Linked DNA regions of Coturnix japonica. The protein of the gene in region 5 interacts with the protein of the main gene of each other region in a pairwise test. Links are inferred from orthologs where the notes say so. Each region holds a gene or a part of one and is shown on either strand. Other genes may lie near its edges.

The links.
Region 1: the proteins of CBY2 (region 5) and TXLNA interact in binary tests that used the Homo sapiens proteins (3 or more experiments, as listed by UniProt). The two-hybrid records come from large-scale screens. The link is inferred for Coturnix japonica from reciprocal best matches to the Homo sapiens genes CBY2 and TXLNA.
Region 2: the proteins of CBY2 (region 5) and POLR1C interact in binary tests that used the Homo sapiens proteins (3 or more experiments, as listed by UniProt). The two-hybrid records come from large-scale screens. The link is inferred for Coturnix japonica from reciprocal best matches to the Homo sapiens genes CBY2 and POLR1C.
Region 3: the proteins of CBY2 (region 5) and C28H19orf44 interact in binary tests that used the Homo sapiens proteins (3 or more experiments, as listed by UniProt). The two-hybrid records come from large-scale screens. The link is inferred for Coturnix japonica from reciprocal best matches to the Homo sapiens genes CBY2 and C19orf44.
Region 4: the proteins of CBY2 (region 5) and PLEKHN1 interact in binary tests that used the Homo sapiens proteins (3 or more experiments, as listed by UniProt). The two-hybrid records come from large-scale screens. The link is inferred for Coturnix japonica from reciprocal best matches to the Homo sapiens genes CBY2 and PLEKHN1.

What each region holds. Positions count from the first base shown.
Region 1 is NC_029538.1:4,544,320-4,550,206, forward strand, and holds the start of TXLNA (alpha-taxilin), read right to left. Parts: upstream 3,316-5,887; 5' UTR 3,145-3,315; exon of another isoform or gene 3,131-3,144; intron 2,781-3,130; 5' UTR 2,745-2,780; coding exon 2,636-2,744; intron 1,834-2,635; coding exon 1,495-1,833; intron 1,009-1,494; coding exon 917-1,008; intron 569-916; coding exon 398-568; intron 21-397; coding exon 1-20. Other genes in the region: KPNA6 (importin subunit alpha-7), read right to left, coding at 4,516-4,700, 5,702-5,880. UniProt on the Homo sapiens protein: May be involved in intracellular vesicle traffic and potentially in calcium-dependent exocytosis in neuroendocrine cells.
Region 2 is NC_029518.1:27,798,305-27,804,207, forward strand, and holds the start of POLR1C (DNA-directed RNA polymerases I and III subunit RPAC1), read right to left. Parts: upstream 3,280-5,903; 5' UTR 3,237-3,279; coding exon 3,168-3,236; intron 3,095-3,167; coding exon 3,023-3,094; intron 2,927-3,022; coding exon 2,819-2,926; intron 2,728-2,818; coding exon 2,595-2,727; intron 2,035-2,594; coding exon 1,915-2,034; intron 1,700-1,914; coding exon 1,547-1,699; intron 1,412-1,546; coding exon 1,262-1,411; intron 736-1,261; coding exon 619-735; intron 395-618; coding exon of another isoform or gene 360-394; exon of another isoform or gene 280-359; coding exon 161-279; 3' UTR 1-160. Other genes in the region: protein YIPF3, read left to right, coding at 3,367-3,429, 3,500-3,706, 3,781-3,887, 3,969-4,014, 4,604-4,696, 5,038-5,169, 5,674-5,787. UniProt on the Homo sapiens protein: DNA-dependent RNA polymerase catalyzes the transcription of DNA into RNA using the four ribonucleoside triphosphates as substrates.
Region 3 is NC_029543.1:3,385,498-3,391,304, forward strand, and holds the start of C28H19orf44 (uncharacterized protein C19orf44 homolog), read right to left. Parts: upstream 3,599-5,807; 5' UTR 3,449-3,598; coding exon 2,690-3,448; intron 2,448-2,689; coding exon 2,096-2,447; intron 1,576-2,095; coding exon 1,502-1,575; intron 1,312-1,501; coding exon 846-1,311; intron 336-845; coding exon 240-335; intron 116-239; coding exon 1-115.
Region 4 is NC_029536.1:2,436,343-2,442,107, forward strand, and holds the start of PLEKHN1 (pleckstrin homology domain-containing family N member 1), read right to left. Parts: upstream 4,006-5,765; 5' UTR 3,750-4,005; coding exon 3,670-3,749; intron 2,451-3,669; coding exon 2,351-2,450; intron 96-2,350; coding exon 1-95. UniProt on the Homo sapiens protein: Controls the stability of the leptin mRNA harboring an AU-rich element (ARE) in its 3' UTR, in cooperation with the RNA stabilizer ELAVL1.
Region 5 is NC_029516.1:150,250,919-150,256,930, reverse strand, and holds CBY2 (spermatid-associated protein), read right to left. Parts: upstream 3,843-6,012; 5' UTR 3,743-3,842; intron 2,298-3,742; 5' UTR 2,292-2,297; coding exon 1,314-2,291; 3' UTR 1,215-1,313; downstream 1-1,214.

The DNA.
Region 1 (5,887 bases), on a different chromosome or scaffold from region 5:
GCTCGCTGGACACCCTCCTCCTGTATTAGAAGGGCAGACAGCAACGTGGCATCACATCAGGCAGATGAACAAACCTCCCTGGGCCGTGATGATCTGAACCCACCCAACTTCCCACTGCTGCTGGTATCAATCAGGAAGGCTCTGCAGGCCATTGCATGGCAGCTCCTTCACTCCAAGAGCTGAGCAAGCCCACAAATGATCACTTCCTTCAAAATAAAATCACAAGGGTCAGCTCCCTCCCCTGCTGTCCCTTGCAAGATAACAGATTAACAGCACAACTGAAATCCTGCACTGGACATCAGACTGCGGGCGACCACTCCTTAAAATCAGCCCTGCAGCAGGTGACCTAAGGGTTTGGGAGGAAGCAGCTCCTGCAGCAATCCCAGGAGACACTCGCCTTGAGGGTACGGTTGTGTCTCTGGAGCTCACGGCACAGGCTCTCCAGCTTGCTGCGGGCCAGGATGGCCTTGCTGTGCTCACTCTGCAGGTGGTCCTTCTCTTGCACCAACTGTGTCTGCTTCTTCTGCAAAATCTTCATCTGTTTCTGGGAGTTTCGGTGTTCTTCCAGCTAGGGTAGGAGAGCAGAGGGCAGAGATGCAGCAAAACAGACCAGGGCAATGCTGTGCCCATATAAGGGTACACAGGGATCAAATAGGTGTTCTGTCTACTCTGAAAGGACAGGAGCTTTATAATAAAAAGCACAGTCAGATGAATACAGAACCCAAGGTCTCCCACACACAGCCTTTCTCCTTCCTGAATTAACATCCTACTGGAATTGGTGAGAAGTGCACATTCCTTCAGGACCTCCAAGCACTCAATGCTTAAACAGAGCAGAGCTCTGAGTGCTGTCCCAGTGCTCACTGCAGCAGCGTCCTCCCACTGCCCCAGAGCCTGGAATGAAGAAACGAGGACTCACCAGCTCAGCGTATTTCTTGCACAGTGCTGCCAGTTTCTCCTCTGGCGTGCTCAGGGTGTTCAGGGTCTGCATCAACAAAGTGATTTCTTTGCCTGCAGTGAGACAGAATTAAACAGAAAGGTGACGTCACGTACATGGAGTTGTGGCTTATAAAGGCAAGGACAGGAGACAGAAACCAGGTCTCACACCTGTGACCACCCTGGCCCAGAGTTCCCATCTCCAGTGCCTATTTGGGGGTTTGTCCCCCAGATTTCACCACATACAGCAGTGAACAATTGAAGCAGCTGAGGAGAAACGTGGTTATCAGAGTAGGGAACCACCAAGGGGCCAACTAGACAACGCTGTGTGCAGCAGAGGGGAAACCTGCACAATTCAGAGGCTGCAGCAGCACTCAGGACTGATGAGTGTCTTTGCAACACTCAACGTTTCCTCCCATACCACAAGAATAAGATGCTGTACTATTTCCAAACACGTACCTAAGGTATTCATTTCTCTAACAGCACTTAGTGCAGTATAAAATCCACATCTGCACCAAAGTTCTCAGGCTGGCAGCACAACCACAGCAGGAAACCCCTTACCGAGGCCCTTGGCTTTCTTCTTTTCCTGAGCCTTCTTCTGATCCCGCTCTCCACACTCGTCTCCAGGTCGAAACTCTTCGGTCCCCTTCGTTCCTTCCTTCTCACCATTCATCTCGGGGCTGCCTGACTCCTGATCTCCGTTCCTCGGGGACTCACTGAGGCACTTCTCCACTTCCTCTGGCTCCACGGGCTCACTCTGCCCACCGTCCTCACCCGGACCCTCCTGGCTGGCATCCACGCAGTACGTGTTCAAGATGTCCTCAAGCTGCCTGCTCAGCTCCTCAGAGACATCCTGCACGGCAGCCCGGGAGGACTTTGTGTCGTCCTGTGCAAGGGGAGCTGTCGGAGATACAAGCACAAAGGCGTGATGCTTCCCCACGCCGCCTGTTCTCTGCTCTCCACGCACACACAGCAAGGGGAAGGTTTCCCCGAGCACCTCAGTGCACCAGGGCGGGCTGAACTCCCAGCACACAAACTGCTTTGTTCAGGCTGTGCCTCCAGCCAGCTGCCCTGACAATGGAGGTGCATTCCTAACAGCCTCTTTTGATCACGAGAGCATGACCGAGACCCTGACATCTGTCAGGAGCAAGAACTGCCCCCTCCCACCATCCTCTAACCAAAGCAGGTTGTGTGTGAGCCTTCCCTCGGAGCAGCAGCCTGCTAATATCCCCAGAGCCTTTTTTGCACAACAATAGATCTATAAGCTGAGTTTGCCTCTTTGCTCACATATACGAGCAGCTGTAGCGGCTCAGACCCACATCCCATCCCATCCCATCCCATCCCATCCCATCCCCATCCCATCCCATCCCCATCCCAGCACAATCCATCCCATCCCAGCAGCCCCTCAGCACTTCTCTACATCCACAACTCCTCCCAAGCAGAGCTGTACAGCATCAGCTATTGAACTCACTGCATTGCTGTGCATCTCCTACGTTCCACAGTTACTAAAACGCAGGGCAAGGTTAATTGAACCTGCTGTGAGCTGACCACCCATTCCTGTCTCAATGTCACAGAGCAGCACTAAAGGAACCGATCGCTCAGGGACTCTGTGCTGCTGGGATCAACGCTACGAGTCGCACAGAACGGACCGGACAGAACGGGCCGCCCCGTACCCAATACCGGGACGCGGCGCTGCCCGCACCTTCCATGGCCGCGCTGGGCTCTGCCGGTTCCGCCTCGTCCCCCGGATCGCCGCCGGTTTTGGCCGCGGGTCGCGGGGCCGCTTTGCCGTCTCCGCTCTGGTTCTTCATGGCGGCACCGCTCCGCGCTCAGCACCGGGAGAACCGCTGGAACGGAAACCGCAGCTGGAGCGGGGAATGGAGGGAGCGGACGGGAACCGGGACCGAACCGGGACCGAACCGGGAACCGGGACCCGCCGCGACCCAGCGCTGCGCCACGGGGACGGCATCGAGGAGCCGCGCGGCACCGGATCCCATGGAGCCCGGTATCAGCCCCACACAGCCCGGTATCCCCGCACATATCCCGGTATCCCCTTATAGCCCTGTATCCCCATACAGCCCGGTATCCCCGGATCCCCCCGGTCCGACCGGAGCCCCCGTCCGCTCCCGCCATCCCACGTGACCCCCGTGACGTCATCAACACCTCCCTTCCTCCCGCCGTGACGTCACGCCCGTACCCCCGTGACGTCACCGGCAGCGCTGTGACGTAGCGGCCGCTCCTCCCGGTGCGGTCGGTGCCGGTTGAGGCGGCAGAGCCCCGTTGTACCGGCGGGCAGCGCCCAGCAGCGCCCAGCAACGCCCGCTCCCCCCGCCGGTCCCGCACTGAAGGAAGCGGTTCCGGGCCGGGCCTCGCAGCGTGCGCTCATCGCGCAGGCGCCGCCCCGCTCCGCCGACCAATCAGCGCCGAGCAGCCGCGGGGGCCGCCGGGAGACAGAGGCGAGGAGCGGGAAGAGCCGCGGGAACTACAACTCCCGGCGTGCCCCGCGGCAGCCACTTCCGCCCCCCCCGGTCTCCACAGCCGCTCGCTCCCGGCCCGGCTCCGCTCAGCGCTTTGTTCGATCCCGGCCCGGTACGAGGAACCGACCGTGAGCGCGGCCACACACAGCGCTATAACGGGAGCAGCTCGGGCCTCGTGTGCAGGTAACGGCTCACAGCGCTATTACACACATTACATTACACAGGTGTTGGTTTCCTCTGGAGCCCGATTAGACAAACAGGTGCCGATAGATCGTATAAAATACACAGATCTGAGACTTTATGAAGGAAAATGTTTGTGAGCGGGACGGAAACATGGAAATGAGGCCCAGTGTGTTCACACAGCACCAGAACCGGGCTGTGGGGCTCCAATACAGCTGGGGATGGGGCAGCTCCCATAGTACAGCCCCCCCAGCCCCAGCCCTGCTCACAGCCACCAGCTCCGGCTGCTTCGACCCTTGTCAACAGCAGCAGCTCAAACCAACCAACAATATCAGGACACGGGGAGGATCCTCCCACAGCCCCTCACCCTTTGTCCATGTTCTGCAGTGTGAATCCAGCCCAGCTCTGCCAGGATCGCTGCATGGGGAGCGCAGAAAGGCCAGGGCTAAACTCTGCTCTTGGCAAATTAGAGTCTTTAATAAGAGTAACATGTGCAAAAAAATTAAATAGATCAACCCAGGTTTCCAGAATTATTCTCGTCTGAATACTCGCTTTTCTATTTCTGTTCTTACCCAACCCAACGCTGAAACCTCAATTAAGTACCCGAGGTAAGAAGTGACATTTGGGAGAGATCACCACAAAGAAAAATAAACCCAAGAGGTGCAACGAGTTACCTCAGTGTCCTTCCTCCACCCAGATGCCTGCTTTAAAGACACGTATGCAGCAGCAAAAAGAAAATAAACGTGCAAGACATCCCATTTTCTTCATGAGGATAAAGCACTCTGTCTATTCGTTTGAAGGAAGAATTGTTTCCTAACAGGTGGAGTGAGCGTCCAGCCTTCCGTTTGCAAGGAGGAAATGGGATCAGCAGCTTCTCCCAGTTGTTTTGTGGCAAATTTGTGGTGGTCTTTTTGCCTGGGGCGTATTATAGCTGGAAGCCTTCCATAGGGGCTTCAGGTTGCTGGAAGATGAATTGCTGCTGGTTCTCATCTACCTGGGGAGCTAAAGCAGAGTCATCCTCTACTCCAAAGTAGTGCTCAATCAGATCAAATGCCTTCTGATAAATCTCTTGATTCTCGTGGCTCTGGAGGAATTCAATCTTATCCAAGCCTTAGAAAAGACAAAAGTGGAATGTGATGAGACAGGAGATCCTAACGTTCAAGCTGTCCCGATCCATCCTCCACCCTTCCCCCTATTCATTGCTTGTCTGTGTTACGTGAGCATTTTGTGAGCAGCACCGACAGCTAAAGCCAACTATTCCCATTTCTCCAGAGCTGCCTGTGGATTTTATCTATATCAGCAACCATTAACCTTCCCAGTTGCAGGTTTAGCTGATGCAGTAAAGCAGGAAGTCTCCAGCAAAGAACTGCGAGCACTGAACTGGGCAGTGAAATCTGTGCCACTGGCTGGGAACATTCAGCAGCTGCAGGGGAAGGAAGCAGGGCCTGTCCCAGCAGCATTCAGCAGAAGGGCAGCAACAACTTTAGCTGTCCTAATTAAACCCACTGCTGAACGGGAAGAATCCGAGCACTGCACACTGAGGAATGTCAAGAATTATTCTTACTGGAGGAACCAGGACACACAATGTAACAGTCAGTGAGAGGGCAAGGGAAAAAACATTAAAAACGATGCTGACAGTATACAGGGCATTTCAGACCAAAATAGGAACCGTTCCTCAAAGCATTAGGAACAGGACAAAACCACCAAATTAGGGCTCTCCAGGGACAAGCTCCGTCTCTCTGGATTTCTGTCATGCGTTTGCAGTGCACAGCTGGGGACAATTAGACAAATCAAAGACCCAAGAAGTGGGTCTTACTCAGCTCAGCTTACATTGATTAATATTCCCAACAGTGTGAGCCGCAATTATCAGCCTGGCCTCTGGGTCTAAGAAACCTGGATCACAAGCACAGTAGTGTTTGCTTCCTGACATTATCTTATGCTGTATTGTAACATTCTACAAAGACAGTGTGATCTATTATTGGAACAAATACCAGCTCATCTGGAGCACACCCAGCCCCTTAACTCATCAGAAAAGCAAACAAAACTAGCAGACCCTTCCAATATATTCTACTGTGTTCAGAGTCAGTGGCACCGAGGGCAGCAGAACCTACCGTAGGCCTCTTCTATCATGCTGCAGTACGGGTTGATGCCTGTCCCGCTCTGGCTGGCCTCCTGCTCTCCCAGCCTCAGGATGTTCTCCAGGCCATTCAACGCCACCTGAACAATCTTGGAGTCCATGACAGTAAGGAGGTCACAGAGAGGCTTGATGCAACCCAGGTTGACCAGGTATCTAAAAG
Region 2 (5,903 bases), on a different chromosome or scaffold from region 5:
TCTCCTCACTGAGGCTCATCACACACGAAACAAAGAGATGGTCCCAGGGCTCTTAAAAAAATCCATCTCCAAATTCATGCCTAGGGCAGAAGAACCACTCCTGCCGGCCAGAGCAAGAAGCCCAAAACAGCAGCACAGGGTTCTTGGTTGTACAGCTCACTCACTCCATTGGCACAGCATCCAGTTCATTCAGGAAACGCTGACACTTTCCCATCAGTATCTTGATGGCTTCAGTCACCAGCACGTCTGGAGGCAAGATACCTGTCGACTCCACTGAAACTGCACAGAGACAGAAGTCAGCACGGCCATTGCGCTGCTTCAGCCTGCGGCTGGCTCCAGCGTTTGCTCCTCATCTTCCCTTATGCTGCACTTCCAGCAAGCCAGACCTTTGCAGCTGAAAGAAATAAGCCAGCAAGAAGCACAAACACATCCTACCCCAAAGCTGCACCAAACCACTATCTCAGTAGCTCCCCAGAGGAATACAAACATAGGAAGAATAACGATGCCAAGTAGAAGGGAAAGACTGAGACCAAGGTATGCACACTGGCCAGCCCCTGCTTGTTTGTACAAAGCAGAATCGGGCTGGGCACTCTGCTCTGCACAAAACAGGCTACTTACAGATGTAATGATTTCGCACCCTGGCCAGGCGCACCAGGTTTTTCAGACCCTCGTGTCGGAAGACTTCCCTGCTGAACGTGTCCAACCGTGCGTTGGCTACTCTTGCCACCTTCTTTCCTAAAAGGAGAAGACAAAACAAGGTGGGCACCGGCAGCAGATGAGCACCTTGGGGTCACAAAAAGTACTTACCCCTCAAGCAGCAGAGGCAGCAAAGCCACATATAATTAGCACATCCCTAACATGAAACTCCAGCTTGGCAGAATTCATTTCCTCGAACAGTTCTAAGCCAAACACAAAGCCTGTATGTGCTCCTGGGCAGGACACAAGTCCTCCCCGTGCTCAGCTGTTACAAAGAGCAAGCTCGCTACCCAGACACCTAACAGTAGCACAGGGCTCTACAGACAGGCATGCAACACATAAGCATTTCAGGGAGATCTCAGTTCACTGCTAAAAACATTTGTGTGTGACAGCCACTCAGCCACTACAACCAGGCTCAAAACAGCACCAACTGTTGTTGATCAGCAAGACAACATCGCAATGTGTTATTTTCCCAACAAGGTTTGACTACAATCTCTACTGTCTCTATTCAGTCACTGCTAAGACTTGTTAGGAACGAGGCACTTTACAGCTGGAAAGAAAGTACCCTTGACGTTCTGGATCTCAATGACTCCAGGGGAAAAGCACTTCTGTAACGTCTCGGCTGCCTCATCCTCGATAGGCTGCAGGAGAGTGATGTCAGGAAGCAGTCGATAACTAGCTGTGGCCACAGGAGAAAACTTGGCATGATCTTTACCTGCACAAAGAGTTCAGAATTAAGGATGAGGACAGGCCTTGGGGTCAAGCTAGTTCTCCAGTGTTTCCCATCACACAGCTGTGCTCGAGTCCAAGCACCAGCACACCCACTCCCCAGCTCAGACCCAGCACTCACCTACACCCTTGACGCAGTGCATGAGCACATCTATTTCCTGCCCAGGTCTCAACAGTGCTATAAGGATGTCGTCGTGGACAGGTCGGAAGTCAGCATCCGGAAAGAGGTCTGTCTGATTCCCCAAGGGAACCCATGTCATGTGCTTACTGTACACTGCCAAAAGAAACCACGAGCATCAGCCAGCTGCTGCCTCAGAAAACAGGTTGCTGACCTGAATAGGAGATGGCACAAGCAAGCTATGTATACTGTGAGGAAATGAGCTGTCTCTGCTCACAAGGCAAAACACCAAGAGAGAGAAAGAAGAAAATGAACAAGAGAAAAAGCAGAAAGCTGCACCTACTTTTAGGGCAGGCACAAGGAGCTCTCACCTTTGTGATTGAAATACAGCTCGTTTGGGTCAGACGATTCCTTGGCTGCCTGAGGATTCCGGCTGCATTTTATTTTCAGCTGGAACTGCAGAGTATCAATTTCCGTCCCCTCTTCATCTCCTGGAAATGGCAAAACAGTATCTTTATGGAAGTGAATTCTGCTTTGTTGAAGTGTATCCAGGGGAGGGACACATGAATGACCCAGTGATGGAACATCTCTCCTACGAGGATGGGTTGAGAGCTGGGGCTGCTCAGCCTAGAGAAGAGAAAGCTGCAGGGAGACCTGGAAGCGGCCTTTCTGCACCTAGGAAGAGCATGCAAGAAAGAAAGGGACAGACTCTACAGCAGGGTCTGCTGTGATAGGAGAAGGGGAAACGGTTTGAGGCTTAAAGAGGGTAGATTTACTTTAGAGATAAAGAAAAAGTCTATTACTGAGTGAGAGTGGTGAAAATGAGGGTGGTGAGGCACTGGAACAGGCTGCCCAGAGATGCGGCTGATGCCCTGTCCTTGCAGACTTACAAGGCCAGGCTGGGCAGGACTCTGAGCACCTGGTCAGATGTAGGAGTCCCTGTATGTTGTGGGATCGTTGGACCTGATGGCCTTCATGATCCTACGGTGTGACCCCAGCTCCTGGTTATGGGCTCCACCCTCCCCACCGCTGTTCGACCCGAGCCCCTCACCTTGATTCCTGTACTCAAAGAGCCGCGGGTCGGCCCGGATGGGGATAAGGCCCAGTCGGTGCGCCAGGATCTCGTCCTGCACGATGGACGTGTTGTTGTACACAAACACCTTTTCCACAGCCATGGTCGGCACCTCGGGGGGACGACAGAGCGAGGCGATAAGCCGCCAAGCAGGGCACCGCACGGGGACCATCCACTCGTCATGTCTCCCAGCCCCGCGGTACCTCAGCGAGCAGGATGCGGCGGAACGCGTTGGCGATGGCCGCGTCGATGCCCACCATGTCGAACTCGAGCACGCCGTCCTCCTCCCGCACCACGTCCACGCGGAACCCCTGCTCGGGAACCGCGCCGCGTCACGACGGAGCCGAACAAGGGGCCCCGCAGCAGCAGCTCCATCAGCTCCATCATCTCCATCAGCTCCCACTCACCTCCTCGAAGCGCCGCTGGTCCCACGCGTCGTCGTACCCGGGGTAGTTGCCTGGGAAGTCAGTGGTGTGGACCTGCGGGGGGCGCAGCCCGTGAGGCAGCGGGGGGTGATGCGGGAGCCGCCCCGCGTCCCGCCGCCCCACGCACGTTGCGGACGCCGAACTCGCCCAGCACCACGCGCTCCCGCATCTCGTCCGTGCCGCGCCGGGCCGCCATCGCCGACGGAAGGACGCGCCGCCGCCCCGCCCCGCCGCACGTAAGGCGGCCATGCGGAACTGACGGCTCTCGCGAGACACGGAGCGGCCGGACCGTCACATCCGCGTTGCCGTCCCCCGTTACCGGCGCTATGGCCGCGGCGGGCGGCAGGAGCGGCACCGCCGAGTGGGGCGGCTTTGAGGACAACGTGCAGGTGGGGCCGGCCCGCGGGGGGGGGGACAGAGGGGCCCGAGCGGGCGCTGACGATCCGTGCATCGGAGCAGGGCGGCGGCTCGGCCGTCATCGACATGGAGAACATGGACGACACGTCGGGCTCCAGCTTCGAGGACATGGGGGAGATGCACCAGCGCATGAAGGAGGAGGAGGACGAGGAGGCGGAGGGCGAGGCGGGGGCCGGCGGGGAAGAGGACGGCGAGTTCCTGGGCATGAAGGGGCTGCAGGGGCAGCTGGGCCGGCAGGTGGCCGACCAGGTGAGTGGGCTCACGAGCCGCCAACAGCCCCGCCGGCCCCGGCCCCGCCGCTGCACGTACCGTTCTGTCCGCAGATGTGGCAGGTGGGGAAGCGACAGGCGTCCAAAGCGTTCAGCCTCTACGCCAACATCGACATCCTGCGGCCATACTTCGACGTGGAGCCCGTCCAAGTGCGCACCAGGTGGGCAGGGCAGCGGGTGCACGGGATCTGTTGCTTCTTAATGACTGTCCTGATGTCGTTCCCCGCTGTGCCGTAATGCAGGTTGCTGGAGTCCATGGTGCCCGTCAAGATGATCAGTTTCCCACAGGTGAGTTCTCTCTCACTGAACCAGACCCCACAGCCTGAGTGACTGTTCCACAGAGACCCCTCAGATGTAATTAGCCTGTTATTAAGGATCCAAGTCTGTTAGATGTTCACCTCCCTCAAAGTATCAGTAAACCCTTTCCTATGGTTGTTCCAAACCCCATTCTCATAGAATTGTAATCATAGAACATCCTGAGTTGGAAGGGACTCATAAGGCTCACCTGGCTCCATACAGCACCACCCATAAATCAGACCATATAGCTGAGATCATTGTCCGGATGCTTCTTCAACTCCAGCCAGCTCACTGCTGTGACCGCTGCCCTGCACAGCCTGTGCCAGCGCTGCCTTTACCTTCCTGCTACCCTTAACGCTGGTACAGTTGTAGAACTCTAGACCTCACTTTGCCCATTTCTGCATCCTGTTGAACACCACTCTGACTCATCACAGTCTGTTCTGTGTGGCTTCTGTCAGCAGTGGCCTTGCAGATGCTCCTCGGGTGATAAAAGTCTCCAAGATGCTCGTTATGTCTCTCAGGGTGGAGAGCCTGGAAGACAGGAGCACTAACTAAGCCTCATCTCTCTCTTTACATGTAGAAGATTGCAGGTGAGCTTTACGGACCCCTCATGCTGGTCTTCACGCTGGTGGCCATCCTGTTGCATGGGATGAAGACCTCGGACACTATCATTGTATGGCGAGTCTCAGTGATTCATTTGTGCTTTGACCGGGTTTGGGATTGCTATAATGACACTGGAAAGGGAGAGGAAACCTCTTCTGTATCACAAGAGCTGAAAAGCAGATTTGATCTGAGGAAGATCCTTTTGGTTTTGGAGAGGGGAGGAAAGTTGCATCAGAAAGTCCCAATGCTCTGTAGCTGGGAGAGATGGGGTGTAGGTCGTGGGGCAACCTGCCTGCTGTTAAGCCAGCTGTTTGTATACATGTATGAAAGGCTCTGGGTGCTCTGCAGTGAAACTCAGGTGCTGGCAGGCCCTTGCTCTGAGTTCTCTCTGTCCTGCTGCTGTCTCCACAGAGGGAAGGCACACTGATGGGCACAGCCATTGGCACCTGCTTTGGTTACTGGTTGGGAGTCTCCTCTTTCATCTATTTCCTGGCATATCTGTGCAATGCCCAAATCACGATGGTGCAGATGCTGTCGCTGTTGGTATGTACGGATGGGGCTGCCCCAGGATGGATGCTGGCTGCGTGGTGTTCCAGAGGGGAGGGTAACCTGTGAGCTCTTCCCAGAGAGCTGGAAACATCTTTGTAAATGAGTGGTCCCAGATGACCATAACCTTGTTGCACAGGGACAACTTGGAATCCGGGATGATCTTTGGACCTGATCTGTCCCAGACACAGAGATGGCACAGAGCAGCTGTTAGTGCTTGCAAGTTTCCTCTTGGGGAGATTCTCATTTTTCTGGGATCAGAGGCTTTTTTCCTTGCATTTCCTAGATTGATGCAATCTCCAACAGTCCTGTGAATCCTTCTGACAGATGAGCTGGGTGTGAGCTCCTGTTAAATCTGTTGTGCTGGTTGACATTCTAGCACGGAGTGTGCAGTCTGCAAAGTAGTGCCTTGCTGAAACATTGCAAGCATTGGCTGTTTGTTGCTCAACAACCTTTTGTGTGCAAGTGACAACTGTAACATGGATGTGTTTGTTTTGCCAGGGCTATGGCCTTTTTGGACACTGCATCACTCTGCTTGTCACCTATAATATCCACTTCCATTCCCTCTTCTATGTTTTCTGGTTAGTCGTTGGTGGACTCTCTACACTGCGAATGGTAAGTGACTGGCAGCCCAGAGGGAAGTGTTTCTTGCTTTCTGTTCCTTGGGCCAGTCAAGTGATTCCACAGCTGGGTAGGGTGCTTAAAGAAAGCCTGATGCTTCTGGGCCATTT
Region 3 (5,807 bases), on a different chromosome or scaffold from region 5:
TCCACAAGGGACAAGTGAAGGTACTGGATGTTCTCCACAAATTGCTGGGTCAACATCAAGTGCTGTTTTAACATGGCATTTAAAACAAGAACTGAGGGACTGTATGCTGTCAAGGCTGCAAAGAACGAAGAGTGTGTATTTTAGTAACATGACAGTCATGGAAAGTGCTAATAATGAGTCAGGCAGTGACTACGTGCATAAAATAGAGTCAAACAATATTAAGAGATGTCTTTCAGTACCTTCTACTGCATCCATGCTGATGACATGACTGGCAATAGGTACTGGATCAACGTAGCTGTTCCCAACAGGCAGACCAAGCACTGCAGAGCTGTTTGCTGTGTAGAAGACAAGAATTACTGGGTTTGGAAGGCAATGATTCAGTGCTAGAATTCAGCTTTCAGGTCATGGGCTTCCTTAGAACAGTTTTAAACCCAACAGGGAATTCAATCAGACAAACTAATGTTGATGTAAGCCTGTGCCCTCCTCCCTTTACTTATTCTCATGTTCGCACAACTTGCCATTGCAGAAGCTGTATTTTCTAACCTCGGACACAGCACAAATAAAGGTTCACATAGTTGAAGGAAGCCACTGTTTTCAGCAAAGTCCTGTTTTCTCCTTGTTTATGGCAAGAAGCATCTTTCTTAGCTTCTCCTTTCAAAGAGGATTAGAAAACAAGTTACCCCTCAGAAATGAAGGGCACAGCTTACTTACAGCTATCAAAATGCTGTGGTTCAGAAAGCTTTTATTGGCACATCAGCTGGGGGAAGCTGATCAGGTCAGCTTGTAAAATATGAACAAATCTCAAGACTGAAGAGAGCGGTGTCCTGATTTAAACATTAACTTACTCTTTGACCAGCAGTAGGTGAATGGAAAATCCACTGTCTGAGCTGCAGTTTCTTTTACATCTACTCTGTGTACCCGTTTGTGCCTTTCTCTGGCAAGTAAAGGGGATGATGCTGAAGAAGATGGGTCTTTTCCAGAATACATGGAACTCTCAGAATGTTCCACTGACATTTTAGATACAGTTTCCTTGTCTGTTGTAGATGGAGATTGTTCAAAGTCTTCAGAATATTCTGAATTAACAGTTCTGTCATCACCATCAGGATAATCCTGCCTATGCCCAGAAAAAGATGAAGAAACTTCTAATTGCTCAGGGATTTCAGCTTCAGTCACGTTTTCAGTAGCCCTCTCAGAACTATCAGGTACAGCAATTTCTGCACTTATTTTAGGAAAAGTTGGATCCTTTTCCACTGGGAATGTGTCTTTTTTTGTCTTTCTATTTATTTCTGGACTGATTTGAACGTGCGTCCCCTGCAAAATAAAAGAGCTGTATGTTAAGAGAGTCAGCAATACATAATGTAAATATGGCTCCATAAATCTTTGCAACCAGTGAAACATGCCCATCTCCAAGAGTTTATTAGCAGAACAGATGTGTTTATTTTAGAACCTGCACCCTTCATCAAATGAAGGCAGAATGGAAAGACATGAAATTTCTACTTACTTGCTGCTTTAATTCTGCTGTCTCACTAATGTTTGATGCCAAATCATCCAGGCTCAGGATATTCTGTCTGAAGTCTGCAATTGAATGACAAATTGCCATGAGAATTCATAGGAAAGTTACGGTACTACTTCTATGAAGTGACAAAAAGAAGAAAAAAGGCCCAATATTAAGAAGGAACAGTACTCAATCACTTCTGAAATCTTTAATTCAGCAGCAGTTCTTTCCAAAGTCTCCTCCTCTGCAGGAGGACCTGCCTACGGCTCCACAGACCCTCAATGCCCTGCTTTTAAGCTCAAACCCAACAGTATATTGTCCCACTCATACATCAATACAGCTCTAAATGTTGGAGTTACGATGTCACAACTGTCAGCCAGCATCCTTAATCTGAATCATTCAATGAAAAGCCAAGAAAAATACAAATGTGCAAACAACAAAGATACATATACAACAAGATATAATTTCTTTTCTAAAGCTAAAGCTTATGTAAAAATAGTCTAATGAATATTTTCAAAGGAAGTATTTGCCCACGTTTATTAGTAAATAATTTGTATAATTTGTGCCAAGTCTATCAAGATAATGCTAGGAAATGCTTACCATTTGAGCTTATGCTGCTTGAATCTTCCACATCATCTGCTTTTGAAAATAACTCATCTAATGATTTTATTTCACTTCCATCACTTCCACTCGACGCTTGATTTTGCTTAACGTTGCCTCTTCTGGGCAAAATCATTTTTACAGTATTGTCTTTCGTGGAAGAAGTCAGTGATTGAGACCTCGTATCACACCGTGCTGACTGGTTTCTGCTGGCTGAGGAAGGTCTTAACAAATTCCTTCCATCTAAAACGTTTTCCTCTGAGTCTTTGCTGTGAAGAGAAGCTACTTTAGATACTTCTGTCAGCAGAATTTCCTTAGGAGACGGAGGAGGCGATCCTGGTGAAACTGGACTCTTTAAAAGAACATGAAAAAGAGATTTCTGCATTACCTCATTACTGCATGTAGATCACTAAAAACAGACTGTAATGGGTGAATCCCAGTAATTTGATAGTGTGAAATCATGCTAATTGTGAACACGCTATAAACAACTTAAAAATAGTTTTCTGGTGTTAGTAAATAGAGTGACATGCCAATCTAAAATACTCCCATCAAAGTATAAACAGAAATACACAATGCAGGGCAGTCTGTATTTACCTTTCCACTCCACCTGGGATCAGCTGTAACACACCTTTGGTTCTCCCTTCCACTGGAGAATCCCATAGAGCTCTCCATACATTCTCCCATTTGCTTCCCATCACCACCCAACCCGAGCTGTTGTGTAACCTTAAAGTTCCTTTCGGGGCTTTGGGTGCTTCCCTCTTCCTCAGAGCAGCCCTGGCTGGCAGCCACATTCCTACCAACGGCAGCAGAGCCCTTCAAGTATTTCTTGCCTCTCTCGCGGTGTTTAAGACTGGAAGCAGACGATGAATCTTCATCCCAAGGCTCCGGGCCCATCTCAGCGCTCTGCAGTTCCAGCTGTTTTTTCCTGTTGAGGATTTTGTTTTGCAGCTGCTCCACTTTTCTCAGAGCTGAATTCGATCTCATGTGAGCAGCGCTGAACGCAGCGCTCGTGGCTTCAGCTCCGCGCTCCGCCGTGTCCCGCTGCTGCCCGTGCGCTTCGCCCCGCACCTTCAGGAACCTGCTGCGGCCCAGCGCGGCTCGGCCCGGCCCGTCCAGCTCCGCGCCGACGCCTCGGATCTCAAGGCAGGAGCGGGGCAGGCCGCAGTGTCCGCTGGCGGCGGTTGCCCAGAGCGGAGCAGCGCCGCGTCCCTGCCGGGAGAAAAAGCGAAGTGAGGGGCGCCCCTGCGGCCCGTCTGGGCTCTGAGGGCCGCCCCGACCCGCAGCCTCGTCCCGAAACACCGGACGCGGCGCAGGCCTCACCCGCTCCCCGCCCGCCGCTACGCGCAGCGCCATCTCCGCACGGAGCACAACGAGGCCGGGCCGTATCCGAGAGACAGCGACTCCCCGACATCCGCACGCCTCCTGGGGACTCTAAGCCAATCGGAACGTCAGTTATAAAAGACGGGCAAGGAGCAGCCAATCAGAGCTTAGTATAGAACTGGATCAAGCGCGAGGTGTTGAGGGCAGGAGGTGCGAAGCCGTTACTGTGTGAGCGTGATGGCGGCCGGGCCTGCAGCGCGCGGCCTGCTGCTCCTTGGGGCTGTGCTGCTCCTTGGGGCTGTGCTGGGCGCTGCCCGGGCCGTGGTGTATTTCCAGGAGCAGTTTCTGGATGGAGGTTGTGGGAAAGGAAGGGAGGGAGAGGGTGTGATGGGGTGGTCGTTAATAAGGGTGGTGGGCATGCTCTGAGGGAGGGAGGCCCTTCCTGTGCCCCACATAACGCTCCTCCTTTGCTCTCGGTACCGGCCCGGTGGGGCAGGCGGTTGGCGGCAGCGCTGGGTGAGCTCTGAGTCCAGGCCGGACCTCGGCACTTTCCATCTCTCTGCTGGGAAGTTCTACGGGGATCCTGTGAGAGACAGAGGTACGTGGGGGCACTGGAAGGAGCTGCTATGTATGGGGAGGGAAAAAGGTCGTTTTTCTAAGAGAATGGAAGTGTAAATTTTAACCTGGCCGCAGCGAACACAATCAATGCCTCCCTCACCCAGCACTGCAAGGGCCAGGCTCTGGCACTCAGTACAGCCAGAGACCTGCACACCAGCATCTTGGGTTGGCGTCTCAGTCTGAGTCTCCTCAGAAACTGTGGAGCCCGCAGTACAAGAAAGACATGGAGATTTTGGAAAGGGTCCAGAGGAGGGCCACGAAGATGATCAGGGGGCTGGAGCACCTCCCCTATGAGGACAGGCTGAGGGAGTTGGGTTTGTTCAGCCTGGAGAAGAGAAGGTTGCGGGGTGACCTCATTGCAGCCTTTCAATACCTGAAGGGAACTTACTCCCAGGAGGGGAGTAAACTCTTGGAAAGGGCTGATAATAGCAGGACTAGGGGAAATGTTTTTAAGTTAAAAGAGGGAAGATTTAGGTTGGATGTTAGGGGGAAGTTCTTCACTAGGAGAGTGGTTAGGCCCTGGAACAGGCTGCCCAGGGAGGCTGTGGATGCCCCGTCCTTGGAGGTGTCCAAGACCAGGTTGGACGGGGCCCTGGGCAACCTGATCTAGTAAAGGTGTATGTTTGGTGGCCCTGCTAGGCAGGGGGGTTGGAACTACATGATCCTTGAAGTCCCTTCCAACCCAGGTCATTCTGTGATTCTGTAAATTTGAATATTGCCTTTATAGGTCTACAAACAAGGGAAAACTCCAAGTTTTATGCCATCTCCTCAAGATTTAAACCATTTAGTAACAAAGGGAAGACTCTGGTCATTCAGTATACTGTGAAACATGAACAGAAGATTGACTGTGGTGGGGGATATATAAAGATTTTTTCCTCAGACTTGGATCAGAAGAATCTGAGTGGAGCTTCCCCTTACTACATCATGTTTGGTGAGTTACTTGTCTGTCAGCACAATGTTGCCATTGCTGTTGTGCAGCTCCTGAAGGATGTTTGTGGAAAGGATTAAAAGCATAGAGGAGAAAGTTGCTTCAGTAAGAATGTTGTGGCTGTAAGCAGTTATTTCTTCTATAGTTGAGACATGTGAAAGTATGTATTAACAATCCATGTTTATCCAAAAATTCTCAGCTGATTTGAAGGGCATTTAAATATTTCAGGCCTTTACCTGATGTAAATGATGTAGCATAGGCTGTTTGTTATCTGCCCTTAAATATATTTGTATGTATAGTGAAATTTGTTCACTTGTATGTCAAGGTTTGTAGTTTAGTATCTAATGTGGTTTAAGAATTATTACATAATCCTTTCATTTATACTATAGATAGCAACCTGCATTTTTCTGCAACGCAATTAAGGATACAAAGCATGTGATCTCTTTGTAGGGCCAGATATTTGTGGATCTGAGACAAAGAAAGTCCACGTTATTTTAAATTACAAGAATAAACTTCACCCAATCAAGAAACCAATCAGATGTAAGGTAAACAGAGATTTCAAAGGTAAACTTCAGGATACCGAGTCAGAGGGATATTAAGGAGAAAAAACAACACTACTGCAAACATATGCCGTGATTCTGATGTAAGGCAGCTCCTATAAACTGTGCTTAAGGCTTTAAAAATATTTTATTTGCCTTCTCTAAAACCCAGGTCGATGGATATACACATCTGTATACTTTAATCATAAGGCCAGATCAGACTTATGAAGTGAAAATTGATAATGAAGTGGCTGCTTTGGGCAACTTAGAGGATGATTTGGATTTCTTGCCACCAAAGAAAATTAAT
Region 4 (5,765 bases), on a different chromosome or scaffold from region 5:
AGGTTCCTGACGACTGTTTTCCTCCGTCCCTTCTTGAAAAGGCTGGGGAACCTCTGGTCCAGGTTTTCCTTCTGGTTTTCTTGGTTCTGAATGCTCTGTACCAAAGATAAACAAGTCAGAGGTGGGATATGGGATGGATGGACGGGGTGTCCCCAGCACAGCACTTCCTCCACATCTGCTCTGGATTTGGGGTCTCTGTGCTGGAATCAGCTTTGGGCTCAGATGGGGATGTGTGCACTGAGGGAGCTGGAACTGGGGTAGGAAAGGGAATGGGCAGAAGCATATTTAGGGTTTCCCAACTCCAACCTCCTGCCATCCTGACCCATTTGACTGGGACAAGGACCAAGCAAGGCTAAGACAATGCAGTTTGCCTTCCAGGACAGGGGTTTCCCTTGTTTCCTGAGCTCTGGTTCAATGGAAATTCCTTCCTTGTGCAACAGCACAAACCCACACCCCTATTGCACTCCACTGCCCACAGCCCATGGGGTATTGCACACAGGCTCAGAGATACTCATTGCCAAGCAGAAGAGAGGATGGGAGCCACGAGCTAACCCTGAACCAGATTGCAAACCACCCAGAGGGACCTTTTTTTACCCATTTACATGGGATATTTCCTCCCATGTCGAGGCAGGAGGGTTGTGATGGTGACATGTTGAAGCAGCATTTCCAGGCACGCAGCAGGGAGCCGGGGGACAGCAAAGAGACAGCTGCTGCACCCCGTGATGAATGCAGAGCCAGCAGTTCACCCCTGTGGGCCCCCATGAGTCACCCCTGTGGAATGGCACCAACCCCAGCCATCCCTGGTGCTCAGCAGCTCACGGGACCCTCATACCTGCAGAGCTGAGCTCCTTCTGCACCCACAAAGAGCTCTGAAATCTCCTCCAGGTGCTAAGCTAAGTGCTGCTGTAGTCTCCCTCCCAGCTCCATGCATTGCTATGCACATACACCCGAACCACGGGGAGCTGCAGGCTGCCTGGTGATGCTCTCACCGGAGGCAATTAATGACTGTTTCTGTGCTTCCCATGCTCAAACCTCAGCACCCACAGGGCCCGGTGACTCAGTTTTTTTTCCCCTCACACACTATTTGCCCTTGGAGAAGCCCGGAGCCAGCTCTGTGTTTCCAGCTGCAGCCCAGGGTCAGGGCCGGAGGGGGAAGGGGAGAGGTTCTGACCCTGCATAGCCAGTGGGCAAAGGGAGGGAATGGGATTTTTCTCTCTTGAGAAAGATATAATTGAGAAGAGCTTCCAAGCGCCGGCGGTCTTATCAGCACCCATCAGGTATTGTGGTCAGGCAGGAAGAAGTGGGACAGCTCAGGTCAATTTTTTACCAGGTGGGGCTCTCTGTGTTTTTCTATCCCGTTTGTGCTGCAGGCAGCACAGATCCCAGGCAAGCAGCTTTCTCTTGGGGCTTGGCAAGCAGTGCCAACCCCAACACCTCCTTGGCCTCCCCACATCCCCGCTGCTCATCCTGCAGGTAGAGCCGGTTGCTGATTAACCTGCCCGTACCCCACATCCCCCACTGAATCACCCTGCAGGAAGGGCTCAGCCCTGAGGCTCTGAGAACTGCTGCTCACACAGCACCCAAAGCCAGAGCTGTGCTCCGGGCACATCCTTCCCCTTAGGATTTGCTGTGGTTGGGTAGGGTGGGAAACAAAGGGAAGGGTGGGGTGTGGGAGCTAAACAAGGATGCTATCCCTGGTTGGGGTGGAAGCAGGGATTGGGGGATGCACTGTGCACACAGCTGGGCTGACTCCATCACCTCCCAGATGGAGATGTCCCACTATGGGTGCTGCTGAGTTCCAGGCAGGATGTCCCTTGTAGCAAGCATAGCACTACACCTCAGTTTCCCCCTTCCTCCACATTCACATGACCCGACTGCCATACAATAGCATGGCACTCAGTGCTGCCCCATCCACAGCCCTGGACCACCCCGAGGTGCTGGGCAAACACAGTGCTGTGTTCCCCAAGCAGTGCTGGGATTCAGCCATATGGCCACGGGGCTGCTACGTGCCCGGGGCAGACCTGCCCTTCCTGATTATCTTCCCAGTTCTCATTGCTAATACGCTGCCTGCTCCGTCTCATTCCAGCGTGGGAATGAATCATCCTACCTTTGAGTGCTTGCATTTTCCCTTCCTACCCAGAAACAAAGAGCTGAGAGTGATGATGATGTTCCCACCGCACTGTGCTCCCCCTGAATCTCACACATAGAGATACAGCGTGTCCTTATCCCCTCCACAGGGACCCCAAACATAGAGCTCAGCCCTGAGCTGCCCTGCTGCAGAGCCTGGTGCACCTTTGGACCTGGGATGGGTGGGAATGTAGCCTGTGGGGCAGGATGTGCTGGTACTTGCCTTCCCAGGGATGTACTGCAGGATTTTGTCCGTCGTTGTATCCCTCTCCCCATCTCCGTCTATGCCAAAGAAGCTGGGCAGCTTTTTCTTGCCATTTTGCCTATGGGGCCAGAGGGAGAAATGGCAAAGATTTGAGCTGAGTTCTGCTCTGAAACAGGGAACTTGGAAGGCTCTGTGAGCAGTTTGCTCTGGGCTTTCTAATCATCCCAGCTCAGCACTGGGCTGATAACTGTCTGGGATGATTACAGCAGGTTTCATGCTGCACCTGTTGGTGTTTCTTTGTTTTATTTTCCATTTCTTCACATCACCAAATGTTCTCAGCTGAGCCTGGGAACAGCACAGGGCAGTGATGTCCTATTGCAATGTGCCACCTCCAGCCCAGCCCTGAGACCCTCAGGGCAGAGCTGTATGTGCACACACATGCACACCCACACCCACATACACAGAGCTGGGTGTTATGGGGTCTTTGTGGTTTTCCTCTCTTCCCTTCCACCCCCTGCAGGCCCCCCCCTGGTACAGCACACAAGGAGCCCCATTTGGGGCTGCAGTAGGAGTGTAGCACTGCCCTGGGGGGGGTTTCAGGGCTGTTTGCTTCCCATAAAGGCACAGCAGGGGTCAGGCTGAGTGCCAGGTTTGGGGTTTTCCTTCTAAAGGGTTAGGGACGGGTGGGTACACTGGGTTAGGGTGAGGCTTAGGGTTAGGTTTAGTTAAGGTTACCATTGGGATTATGGCTGGGGTTAGGGTTTCCATTAGGGTTATGGTTAGGATTAGGGTTACTGGTAAGATTATGGTTAGGATTAGGGTTATTGGTACTGGTAAGGTTATGGTTAGGTTTAGGGTTAGGGTTACTGGTAAGGTTATGGTTAGGTTTAGGGTTAGGGTTACTGGTAAAGTTATGGTTAGGATTAGGATTTTTGTTACTGGTAAGATTATGGTTAGGGTTAGGGTTACTGGTAATGTTATGGTTAGGGTTATGGTTACCATTAAGGTTATGGTTAGGATGAGGGTCAGGGTTACCGTTAAGGCTATGGTTATGGTTAGGGTTATGGCAGCACAAATAAAACACAAAACAAAGGAATGCTGAGCACTCAGCTCTGCTCCCCATAGTGGGGAGGTGATCTTTCCCAACTCCAATGAAATAAATCACTCTGTTCCTCAGTGCAGTGAGGCTTCAACCCTCCGGCACAGCACTATGATCCCACCCCAAGCTCCTGCAGCTGCCGTAGCACGCAGCTTAAAACCCCACAAACCTCCCATTGCTCTTTGGGATTCCCAAGCAGATCTCAGCACCATTCCCAATAAAAGCACTCATTACTCACTCTTTCTTTAATGAAGGTTTCCTCCTGAAGGAATTTCGGAACCCCCCAGGTGCCTGCGGGACGCAAGCGATGTTCCCCATTCCTGCAACCCAGGAGTACTGGGAGCACTGGGAGCAAAAGCAAAACGTGTGTCACGCAGCCATGCCCCGCTTCCGTCTGTCGGCAGTGACTTGTGGGTGTGAGCCGCCAGCAAACAGACTTTTGGCCCAGGGCTCTCACCGGCTGCTTCTCCTCCTCCCCGCGTCGAGCTGGGACGTGTGGGGAGGGGCTGGGTCCCAGGGCTGAGCCCAGCTCACTGCATGGGATAGGGCTATAGAAATGCCTTGGGTGTATTTGTCCTACTGGGAGTCAATGGGCACTGGAGGGGATGCGGAAAGAGATGGTGACGAAATGGGGTTGCTAATGATGAGGTGAAAGGTGGATGTAGAATGAATGCTCCCGTCCTGTTGATTGAAACAGCCAGGCTGGATGGTCACAGCAAATGGGGAAACTCAGAAGCAAACACAAAGCACGTGGAGGATTCACATCTGAGAGTTCTGCAAGGAGAGTCTTGAGTTGCGGCTGTTCGCTTGCATTGGTATGGAAGGAGTTAATAGGGATAGTGCTGCCTCGGTGGGTGAAGAAGAACCCCCCTCTGGCAGTGAGGGGTTTGCAGGGAGCAGCTTTTGTCCCTGCAGGGTCACAGACAACCCGGCGGAGCAGCAGCAAAGGCTGATGCTGAGAGAAGGAAGGTAATTTAAGCCCAAAACAGCATGTGTGTTTTTAATGGGAAGGTTCATTCCGTGCTGGAACACCTCCCAGATTATGATGGATTCTTTGACGTGGGGTTTTAAGACCGGGAGAGGATGTTTTGCTAGCGGGGATGTTTGGACCACGCTATAGGGACACGTTGGGGTTGTTGGACTCTGTCTGTATCCACCTTGTGCTGGTGGGTGCAAGAGCAGCACATCCCATAGCACCAATCCCACAGCTGGGGAGGGTCCTGCTAAGAACAGAACATCTGCCAAAGGCTCCTGCACCTTCCACTTCCAAATCAGCCTCTTATCCCACTTCTTTTATAACTCATTAACCCTTTGTGGCCAGGTAAAGCGATGGGACACCCCTTGCCCCCTGTAGGAGCCCCATACATCCTATGGCCGGGCACTTCTGTAAACCCTGCATAGCCAAGTCCTGGCCCCTCCTGGCAGCCACCAAAGCTCACAGCCAATGGTAACAACTGGGATTTGGTCAGGAAAGGTCTGATTTCTGCTAAGAGCCGTAGCTAACACGCTCAGCACCGTGACCAGAAACGTGCTGTTCCTCTGGCGTTGTTTGCCGGCCTCCAGACCTCGGAAAGACTTTTACAGTTATTTATAGAAGCCCGAGAGAGAAGCAAGAGGCCGGGGAGCAGACAGAAAGAGGACACGGCCGGGCAGCAGCCAAGCCAGTGTGACAGCATGGGGCTCTGCTGCAGGGCTGTGCATGGGAAAGTCCCCCCCTCGGGCCCCACAGATGCGGTTACCCCATGCCATGCAGCTCCACGCTGCCCTTTTCACCCCCTGCTCCTATGAAAGGGGTCTGGCACTCCCCCCAGCCAGCAATGAGTGGCAGCAGCTCATGAAGGCAGATCCGACCCCTCTCCGCTCCTCCCAGCCCCTGTGACAGCTGGAGGGAAGGAGGATGTTTCCCCCCCAGTCTGGTTTTCATTTCCACGGCAAGGAAAGCTGTCAGCAGTGCTGGAGGCTCCTGGGGAGCCCAAGCTGGGATTTAAAGGCTGAGGGAGGTGTAAATCACTCTGCCTCCAAAGCCCCCATGCCTCGAGCTGGGTTGGTCCCAATGAGCTCCAGCAGAACCCCCTCCCTTTGCTTTTGTCTTCCCAGCAGTGCTGCCTGATTCCGCCAGGCAAGTGTAAAAGAAGGATGCAAAAGGCAGGATCCCGTATTCAAGAAAACACCTTTATTGTACACATTGGCTTTGTATTGCTTGTATCCCTTCCCCGGTCCCATGTAGTGCAAAAAATTCCTTGAAACAGAGTTCCACATAAATAAGGGGGGGGTGACTTACAGAGAAACCAAAGTGACAACGGTTGGACATGGACACGGCGGGTCTGCTAGCGG
Region 5 (6,012 bases):
GCTACTCCTAAAGACATCAGTGCTCTTCCAAGCTAAAGTACTGTTATATTCATAACTGCAAGTGATTGCTTATAGACTAAGACATGCTTAATTCATGGCCTCAGAGAGGAGTGGGTCCCAAAAGACCACTGAAGTCTACAGGAATTTTCCTTTTAGCAGCAAGGTGTAAGTAAGACAAAAAGAAGTCCTTCCTATTCATGCTGCAACCTACAAGTGCCATTTATCAGCAAATAATAATCTCATTTGAAATTAGTAGGATTATTCAAGTGTATGAAAACAAGGCCATTTGAGAAGAATTTAGAGTAATTAAGGTACAAAATGATGAAGGCAGTTTACAGATTACTGAGGCGGAAGGGGTCATGCTGTTCTGGTGAGCAATGTTTGCTTTATAGGCCTGTTGTACTACAAGGCAGAAGACAGATTATTTTCTGGAGAACTTTAAACAAGAGGAAATGAAAGCAAAGTACGTGGGAATGTGGGACTTGGAAAAGAAAACAACAAGAATATGATAGGGGTCAATTGTAGTGGAGAAAGGTATTTCTCATCCATCTACTTGTCTAGGCATATGTCTGTCTGCCTATCTATCTATCTATCTATCTATCTATCTATCTATCTATCTATCTATCTATCTATCTATCTACCTATTTATCCACATGTACTGCAGAAAGAAAATCTGTACAGTTCAGATAATATTTCTATTATGAAAAAATGTTTTTCATAGAAAACTCCAATGCCATGTCATTACACTATTTCTCCCTAGGGGAAACACTTTACTAGGTTTGCACTAGTGCACGCTGCTTCATGGGGCGTGCAGTTTGTTTTTCTATGTCACGCTGTCTTTCATGACTCTGTATCCTGTGAGAGACCACATTTTCTGTGTGAGAGAGAAGGCTGGTTCATAGCAGCTGGTACAGTTCAGCCACTGAACATGGCCAGCCATAAGAAGGGGACAACTAGGGACCCAAACTCAGTTCCCATCTGAGTTTCTTATTTTCAGGAAGTGCCAATCATCTCTTTGAAAAGTATGGCCAACCTAAGGTACCTCAAATTAAGAGTGAAAAGAATGAACTCTTTTTTGAATATGCAGGCTCTCCATTAGCAGAAAATCCCCCCCAAAAGGCTGAAAAGCATGCTTTCCAGGCACCACGCTACCAAAAGTTGAAATCTGCCCAGGTAATATAAGAAAGTTTCAGAATAACACAATACTCTCCAGCTTTAATTTTAGTTCATGCTCTGCTTGTATTTTATTAAGTTCCTGGAAACAAAGAGAGGCACTTTCCAGGAAACAGAACTAGCAGGTTTAGCACCAGGCTTCAAATCTCTCCAAGTTGAAACTCGTTTGCCATGTTCTTCCCTTCTTCTTCATATATTGGGAAAGTGATGGCGATGAGCTCTTTCTCCAGCATTTCCAGTTGAGTTGTAATGTCTGACACAGTGTTTTTCACGTTATTCAGCTGCAGCTTCAATTTCTTGTACTCTTCCTGGAAGAATTTTTTCTCATCTTGGAGAGCGTGAAGGCTGTCTCTGTCATCAGCAAGACATTTCTCCTTGAGGAACACCTGGAGAATCTGGTATAAGTCATGGAGAGCCTGAAGGATTTCATTATCATCCTCTGCGGTTGGTGCAATCTTGGTGTCATTCTGGGTTGGCGTGGTGCTCTCCTCTTTGGCATCATGCTCCTCCTGGGAGGATGTGCCAGGGCTACCTTCTCCCGCAGCTGTGGTACATTCAGTGACCTTCTGAACTGAGCTGGCGCCTTTGTTCTCTTCTTGGACTATGAAGGTTGGTTGATCTTTCCAAATGCTGGGAACTGTTCTATTCTGCTTATGGAAAAACTCTAAGAAGCTGCTTCTTTCTCTGACCAGCTGGAGAGCCTTGTTGCTTGGACTGACCTGAAAACCTAAATGCCTCTCTGGGAAGAACGAGGACAGCTTATCTTTCTGGAGGCTTTGCTGGATGATGTCACTGTAAACAAGCTGGACACCTTTGTTCTGTGTCTGGAGATATTGCAGAGCCTTATTTTCTTCCCAGAGCATCCTGTTTTCGATACGGAGGACTTGGTTTTCCTCCCAGAGGGCTCTGTTCTCCTCCCAGATGCTCCACTCGTTCTCTGTCTTCTTGTTAAGGAGTCTCCTCTGGGATGCAAATGTTGGCTGGCAGTGCACCTCATTCACCCATTTACCATCAATAAATGTAAATGTCTCATCCCTCAGTTTCATCCGTGGGAAGACACAGTCCATCTCGGGCCTTGTACCCCGTGTGCTCTGGTTTGTCAGGTCAAAAGCAGACATGGTTATCTGTTGGCAAACAGAGAAAGATTGTGAAAAGACTTCTGCAGGAGGCCACTGCAGGAGGCCACTGCCCACTGGCAAGGACTAGATGACACAGAAGCTGGAGATGAAGCTTGATTAGGACTGCAAGAACAGGAGAAAACAGGCACTAGTGGAGAAGGCAAAGCCTTGGTGGCACCACAAAGTTTGATACAAAAACCTGGACTCTCTTTTCATCCCCTTGCATCAGTTTTACAGTCATGGAAGATAAATAAAATGCAGAAAGTCATATGAAATGAGATTGAGATTGAACTGCTTTTTAAAACAAAAGTATTTGTTTCTTTTTACCACAGCATAAAACTGTTGGGTTTTTTTCTGATAAAAAAAAAATGGTAGGCTGACTGCCAGTTTTTATCCTTCTTGCCCCAAAGCCTTCCAGTCACCCTCCTGTCCTATATGGCATCCAGTGCTGCCATATGACTGGTGGGCAGTCATTTTGCCTCTGTATCTGTCCCAAGCACTTGGCAGGGGGTCAAAGCCATGGCCCAGCTCTGCCAGGACACTGAACCCTTTGTCCTGTTTTGCCCCACAACCTTCACCAGCTGCTGCCTCCCTGGGCTCCTCCAAGTTACTTCTGAGACCCACCACCCACAGCTACCTCCTTCTTTGCCTTCCCAAACTTGCTTGAAAGCTCAAAGACATATTGCTACTGTTCAAAGCCCCAAATCTCTTCTTGAAGGAATAATTGCAATATGGGTCTGTTTGCCGTAACACTTGATTTTATTGATATAAGGTCTCTGCTTAACTTTCAGAGCTGCCTTCCGCATTGCCATCTGGTATATCTCACATCAGACTTGTGTTTGCATAATGTCATTCCTCTGCTAAAAGGGATTTCCCACTGTTTGCAACTGCTTGCCAATTTCCGCGTTTATTTTTCCCCCTTACATTGTGTTCAGAGCACAGCGAGCAATTTGTTGCTCCCTGCCTCACACAGACCTGTCCTTTTCCCTCAGAGGGTGCTGATGTCCCTGTCATTATCCCCATGATGGGAAGCTGAATCACAGGGGGAACTGATCCCTAAACCCTGATGAGAAAACAGCCAGCATCACAAGCCAAGACCCACCCTTCACTGTGTTTCATGCGCAGGCATTTAAAGCCACTTATGTTTAAAGTGTTTATATGGCAAGTTTTGAGGATAAACAGCAGTATATAATGTATACAGCATTGAAGGATGTTGTCCTGGGGTCAATTAAACTTGACAGCACCTCTATCAGCTCCTGTGTATTGCAGGGGAGAGGTCAACCCAGGCTTCAGAGAAATTTTCCCACCTTCCTTATTCATATTCCCAAACTAAAAATTCCTTCCACAGGATGGGGAGATGGGTTGGAGGAGCAGGGTTGGGGGAGACCGCATGAAATCAAGCATATATAGGTGTTTTGGCAGTACCAAATTACATACCAGCATGTACTCACCTGCTTGTTGGAGATGATACTCTACCCTCTTCACTGCCCTGCACAGCTGCCAGGTCTCCGCTTGGCTTTTTAGCCTGAAGTTCTGCTCCAAGTTCTGTATGGGGGGGGCATGGTGATGAGATGGGACAATGGAACCCACTGTGATGCGATCACCACGCCCAGAGCCAGCCCCTTCTCCACAAGTCCAGGAGCTCCCCCCTCTCCCCCCTCACAGCCCATTTTGTTTTATTTTTCCCAGCATTGCACATTTGGGTCATTTCTCATGGAAACGACCTTTCCAGTAGCCTAGCTCTCACGTCCTTTCTTGAACCCAGGCTTCCCTCTCTGATGCACATAACTGAGAGCAGTTTAGATGGATTCTCCCTCCATCACGCTCTCCTAAAAGAAATTTTGCTTTTATTCTGAATCTAACACATTAATTCTCTGGCTGAACCAATGCTGATAAGTTCAAAAACCACTTCCTTCTGTGTATGCGCTATGACAGCTGAAGTTATTTTTAAAGGACAACATGGATATGAGTTTTTCTGTAACTATAAGTTAAAGAGTAGATCATCACTGAACCCCATTAAGAAGAAAACAGAACATGCAGGGCATTCATGCATTACAAGTTTAGATATTATTTATAGCAGCTATTCCTGCTTCCATGTCTTTATGTTTCTAATAATCTCATTCTCTCTCTTATTTGCTTAATCTTTTAGATGTGGATTATTTCTTCATCTTTTTTCCTGTCATCAGGGTTTTTGAATAATAAATACAGCAATTAATGTCTATTCCAGTGAAAATTACCAACTTGACATCAATCCCAAAGTGACTGTTATTGCTTTAGGAAGTTAAAGGTATAGTTTGGCTTCAGTGTTCTGCAAAGATAATAAACTTAGGCATACAATTCTCTTCTGTATTTTTTTCCTTGTTTCTATTTCATCTCAGACAACACAATAAATAAGTAAATCAGAAGTTCCCATGACAACTCCCCGGGGTTCATTCTCCTCTGTTCAAGTTCTGGGGTCCTACAAAGAGAAACTGGAAAATATCCCCCTAAGAAGTAGTTGGCCTTCAGTCAGATGGCAGTGCCAGGGTGCTGTCCAGCTGCTACAGCTCTCAGGGGAGGCAGCTGAACTTCTGAATACCTGAGTGTGTGGACCACTGGCACAGACCTTAAATGAAAGTTTTAAGTTCTAAGAGCCGACAGAAAACTGAGCTAACAGAGACAAGGGCACCGTGGATTTATCAGCAGGCAAAGCCTGCTTGGTCCAGAACTCCTAGGAACTAAGTTAGCTGCATACTTTCACTTTTTCTTATGCATTTTCTTATTGTCCTGAATGTTGGATAAAGTTCTTCTGGCAAGTCACTTCTTTGTTGAAAGTTACAACTTCAAACAGTAATATATTTGGATCCAATTTAGCGAATATCATCAGATGTGCATACATGTATGTGGAGACACACACCAGAATTGTAAAGACACAGCTGTTCACGGCAGAACTTTTCAAAGCAACTGCACTGACTTCTGAGCTATATTGTCCTAAGGATAAGGCTGTCATTCACAAGGCTGTGAAGGCAGAAATAATGTTGACTGCGTTCCCTTCCCTGTCAAGAGATGGTAACTCCAGCTCTGTAAGAAGGGATTGAACTTACCGGCTGAGTGCTTTTCCCAAAGCTTCAGACTATTTCTCCACGTTAAGCTGTTACAACTCAGTGTTAGTTGGAATTAAAGCCATGTACCCCAAACCCCCACCCCACCCTATACCAGATTGTTCAGCTGACCTTGCTCTCCTCCTTGAGGAGGAGAATCCACAGGGCAGGACTGGACAATAGCATCTCCCCGCCCCCTTCCCTCTCCCCGTATACACAGTATTCTCCAGTTTGGAAATGCATCTCCATGCTGGGATGTGACAGGCCATCAGCCAGTCTTTGGCTGGAAAATGGAAGCAAGGGAGGGGAGAGCTGCTGCTATGAAGAACCTGTGCAAAGGACCCTGAAGATCCCATCCCATCTCATCCTCCTTCCCATTAGGAATGATGACATGTATCTACTGCAAAAGCACAACCCTTTCCTTCTTTTGCTTTTGGGCAAGGGCCTGTAATCAAAAGAATCTGCTTTTAGCAAATGCATAATATTATTCTCCACTTTTTAAAACGTGTTAAAAACCTAAAACTTTCCTTAATGAATGCAAAGGAATCCACTGGCACTTTCTATTACCCCGAACACATTTTTGCTTCTGAAAACTGCTTCTGCCTCTGTCAGTGTCAGCACAGGCAGCTGACCCCACACTG